2 linked regions of the Kluyveromyces lactis genome follow. The protein of the gene in region 2 purifies or fractionates together with the protein of the main gene of each other region. This does not show direct contact. Links are inferred from orthologs where the notes say so. Each region holds a gene or a part of one and is shown on either strand. Other genes may lie near its edges.

Evidence for each region. Proteins that work in one complex are often made in the same cells at the same time.
Region 1: the proteins of RPS3 (region 2) and CDC33 purify together in Saccharomyces cerevisiae (affinity purification with western blotting; 3 studies listed by BioGRID, with this or other methods). This does not show direct contact. The link is inferred for Kluyveromyces lactis from reciprocal best matches to the Saccharomyces cerevisiae genes RPS3 and CDC33.

What each region holds. Positions count from the first base shown.
Region 1 is NC_006041.1:1,876,357-1,878,836, reverse strand, and holds CDC33 (translation initiation factor eIF4E), read right to left. Parts: upstream 1,160-2,480; coding exon 527-1,159; downstream 1-526. Other genes in the region: VNX1 (calcium/hydrogen antiporter), read left to right, coding at 1-100; KLLA0_E20989g (uncharacterized protein), read left to right, coding at 1,755-2,480. UniProt on the Saccharomyces cerevisiae protein: Recognizes and binds the 7-methylguanosine (m7G)-containing mRNA cap during an early step in the initiation of protein synthesis and facilitates ribosome binding by inducing the unwinding of the mRNAs secondary structures.
Region 2 is NC_006040.1:705,118-707,547, reverse strand, and holds RPS3 (40S ribosomal protein uS3), read left to right. Parts: upstream 1-1,209; coding exon 1,210-1,923; downstream 1,924-2,430. Other genes in the region: SHR3 (Shr3p), read left to right, coding at 2,343-2,430. UniProt on the Saccharomyces cerevisiae protein: Component of the ribosome, a large ribonucleoprotein complex responsible for the synthesis of proteins in the cell.

The DNA.
Region 1 (2,480 bases), on a different chromosome or scaffold from region 2:
AATATTATTATACCTGGTTGTCATTTTCGGGTTCTATTTGCAAGAAATAATAGATGATGATTTCTGGGATATATCTCTTTTCGTTAGATTCATAAACTAAACTGACAGAATGAAATGTGGAGATACTAATCCACTGATAATTACACAGGAGAGGACTTTAAATAAAGAATAAACAGACACGTTAATTATTTATACATATCATTTAAAAAAGAGTTTACGAATAATAGTCGAAGGAATTATGATTAGCAGGACACGAAATGGATGTCGAAAGAGTGAAATCCAACCATTTTAAAATACCAAAAGTGTGCTGTCACAAACCGAGATTGTGATGCACCATAAAGATTCCCTTTATACGCTTTTTTTCCCTTTGGGTATGTGGTCAAGGTAAATTGAGATGATTCACAGCGATCAGATGAGGCCTGTCCAAAACAGATTTCTAACTATACTCATAATCCCTTGCATCGACAGTGTTTGGTAAATGTTGATTTAATTTATTGAGTGTTGAAATGAGGAGGGATGTGCTAATTTACAATAGAGCGGTTGGAGGAGCGTGACCTGAGTTAGAAGTTCTGTGATTGTAGAACTCCAACTTTTCACCTTCACCAAGTTGTAGAACTTGCTTAAACTTGGTAGCAATGTTAGTCAAAGCGTTCAAGTTGGTAGTTCTAGTCCACAAAGCAATCTTGAAAACAGCCTTTCTGACATTCAAGACGCAACCGTTGATTTCTGATTCTTCTTCGTCGATGGTTTCACCAATAACGGCCAATAGAGTTCTCAACCACAAATCATCGATGTTATGTCTTTTGTTCTTGAATTGGTACGACAACTTACCACCTTCAGAGTTGGCTTCATCTTCCCATTCAGGTCTGATATCGTTTCTGAACAAATGGTAATCAGATTTGATTGGCAAATCGAATGGCTTTGGAATACCATTTTGAATAGCCCAGAACTCTTCGACAGTATCCAAACTGGTCACTGGACGCAATAAATCAGACCACGATTCTGAACTATCCACAGGGGGCTTAGTATACCATAAAGTCCATTTGCTACTCAAAGGATGCTTCAATTGAAATTCCTTAGGATCAGATAAAACAGTAGCTGGCTTGGCTTCGTCCACAGTTAAATCCTGGGTCTTTTGAGTAACTTCTTCAACGGACATGATATTCTTCTTTGGTCGTAAGATCGATGTCTTTCAGGTTCAAAATTGATCAGGTAACCTCTGGTCTTATACAGATACATTTACGAGTAAAAAACACTCGAAAAATCTTAAACATGCGCAGAGAGTCAATCCAATCTTTGATATCACATTCGTTAATCCAACTTCATTTTTTCTTCCATTTGCCAACTTCCCATAGTTAACAAAATTGAAAACCTTCGCAGCTGCTGCCTGTACTATGCTGTCACTGCTACAAATTTTTTTTTTTCTTTCTTCTAAGAGAGGGTAATGACGTTACGACTTGTCCGGGTAAAACATGAATCAGTTGTCAATACACGTGATTATATTCAAAGGACGGGTAATATTGAGTTTTCTGGAGTTTTTCATGCTCTCGAAGCATGCGAATTGAAATACAAACCGTAGCTGGCTTGTTTTAGCAGGATATCGGTATTATGTAAATTAAAGGGAGTTTAATTATGACAAGCACCTCATTAACGTAGCTGCTGTCACTATATCCATCGAATAGAAAGTTTATTGATCAAGGTGATAGTTTGTCGTAACATATTTCTTTTTGCCAAAGCGACATTTTCCTTCTAGTATGCATTTATACAAAATTGGGAAAATGGTACTCGGAAGCGCAGCTGTCATTGTTTCTGCTTCACTGGGCGCTCTATATTTGTACCAAAACAAGCTTATATACCCATCTTGGGCACAAGGTGCTAGAGACCATGTAGATACGCCAGATCAATACGGTTTGCCTTATGAAGATCTCACTTTAACGACTTCGGATGGTGTTCTATTGAAAGCATTTGATATAAGGAATGAAAATTCGACTGCAACCATGCTTGTTCTTTGCCCCAATGCGGGGAATATAGGATATTTCCTGCCCGTTGCTAGGTTTCTCTATAATGAGTTTAATTTGTCCATTTTTTTGTATTCCTATCGTGGATATGGGTTATCAACAGGGTTCCCATCGGAGAGAGGATTGAAGATAGACGCAGATACCGTCATGGACCATTTGACAAACAGTGAATTTCATAAATCAAGGAAGCTAATACTTTATGGGAGGTCCCTTGGTGGCGCTAATGCCATTTATCTTGCTAGAAAATTTACCGATATCTGCGATGCCATTATCCTAGAAAATACTTTCCTGTCCATTCGCAAAGTTATCCCATACGTTTTCCCAATGCTGAAGAATGTGGCATTCATGTGTCATGAAGTCTGGGATTCTGAACAGGAAATTGTCAACATACAAGATGATACTTTACCTTTCTTGTTTCTTGCTGGTTTAAGAGATGAGATTGTCCCACCCCCTCATATGAAA
Region 2 (2,430 bases):
ATTTCTTAGGTACTGGCTCTAGGAAATGGAGTGAATAGCGCAGTTTTGTGCTTTGTGCGGTAGACGGAATAAACTGTATAGGCAACCAGTAAAAGGATCTACGAGTGAACTAGTAAGTTACAAAGTGGAATTGATTGGCCCATTATAAAGGCTGTGCAGGAGTCCGAACATCTCAGAAAACCATTTACAAAATGAGCTGCCTACCTACATGGTTCTTTCTTTTTATTCACACAAGTTGCACCAATCGATGTGCTTGTTTCGAGTGAGCAAGTAGCTGATTTTCATTTTCTTTTTTTTTTTTTGGCCTTAGGGAAAACTTACTAGGAACATGAAAAGGTAGTTGTTATAATGGATTGTAGTGGGTAGGTAGGTTGAGGCATTTCTGGTACATTCCGTATATTCGAGTGTGCTCGCTGTACCCTCTGCAGGTGTACTGGCTCCCAATATTATTCTTTTTTTTCGTTCAAATTGTGAGAAACAGAGAGAGAGAGAGAAAACGAAACGGCATCCTGTAATTACCCGAAGCAATATTGGGTCATATACCTGCTAAAACCCGGTCAATATTGACGTACTTTCTTTTCGGAATAACAAGTATGCAGCTGTGACACGCCGTGATTGCAACATTGTCTGGAATTCCTATGTTATTTCCCATTTTATTATTCGTTGAAACAATTGTGTTGTCTGTTTCCTAAGTGATGCGAGTTACCACAAGGCTCTCGAGTATTCACATAAACCAATGCAGGGGGTGGAACATCTCGCGTATAAATCCTATTTAGGAACTTCCCCATTAGGAAATGGAGGAACGGTCTTGAAGTTTTCTGTTTACGGCGAGTTTTCTACGCTTACCAGGTGACTTGAAAATATATGTTCCTGGGACTGCTCACCCGGACATTTTTGTTTTAGTTTTTTTTCCAATTTTTTCTGCATTGCCATTTTGGGTACTTATCTCATTGAAAATGTTCATTTATCTGAAGCATTAACCCATACACCACATGTGTTGGTGAGTAAATACTGTCTTTCAGATGATTTTTTCATTTTCACCATACCAATCGCAGCGATTCGGACGGTTTGACGAATATTGTTCTCATCATCGCTTTACAATCTGGTTCATTATGAACATAAGTGCCATTGGACATACAAGATACTTACTTTAGTTAGTTTTATTATCACCTATAATTTCGAGCTCCCCGACGAACAAATAAAGTAAAAATGGTTGCCATTATCTCCAAGAAGAGAAAGCTTGTCGCTGACGGTGTTTTCTACGCCGAATTGAACGAATTCTTCACCAGAGAATTGGCTGAAGAAGGTTACTCTGGTGTCGAAGTCAGAGTTACTCCAACCAAGACCGAAATTATCATCAGAGCTACTAAGGTTCAAGATGTTGTTGGTGAAAATGGTAGAAGAATCAACGAATTGACCTTGTTGATTGAAAAGAGATTCAAGTACAAGCGTGGTACCATTGCTTTATACGCTGAAAGAGTCCATGACCGTGGTTTGTCCGCTGTTGCTCAAGCTGAATCCATGAAGTTCAAATTGTTGAACGGTTTGGCCATCAGAAGAGCTGCTTACGGTGTTGTCAGATACGTTATGGAATCTGGTGCCAAGGGTTGTGAAGTTGTCATCTCCGGTAAGTTGAGAGCTGCTAGAGCCAAGTCCATGAAGTTCGCTGACGGTTTCTTGATCCACTCCGGTCAACCAGTCAACGACTTCATTGAAACCGCTACCAGACACGTTTTGTTGAGACAAGGTGTTTTGGGTATTAAGGTTAAGATCATGAAGGACCCATCTAGAAACACCTCTGGTCCAAAGGCTTTGCCAGATGCTGTTACCATCATCGAACCAAAGGAAGAAGAACCAGTTTTGGAACCTTCTGTCAAGGATTACAGACCAACTGAACCAGTTGAAGCTGCTGAATCTGCTTAAATCAATTGATATCTGTTTGATTCTATATTATTAATTAGTCTATTAAATACCGTTCTTATATGTATAAATATTAAGAAACTCATCAATTCTTTTAAAAATAAGTAATCTATGCCCAGATGACATCGATTAAAACGTCCTGCTTTTATCAATGGATTTTTAAAATGATTTATCGATAGCGCCTTCCGATAATGCCTTTCCGCCTTTCAGTTCCTTTATCTTTCATACTAATCAAAAAAATTCGGTGGGCAAAAATCATGTAAATTATTAAAAAAAAAGAGAATATATAGTGCGTACTGAAAAAACCAATGGCTCAATTATAGATGAATTGTTAACCATTTAATACCACACGTAGGGTCTATACGTTCCATTTTTAAGAGAACGTAGGTATCGCTCACTAAACACATTGACTGAAAGTAAATATGGGCCTAACTTATAAGGATTTTTGTGCTGTAGGTACAGCATTGATCATTGGATCAACTACTTTTTTGATGGGGATCTTCTTTTCTA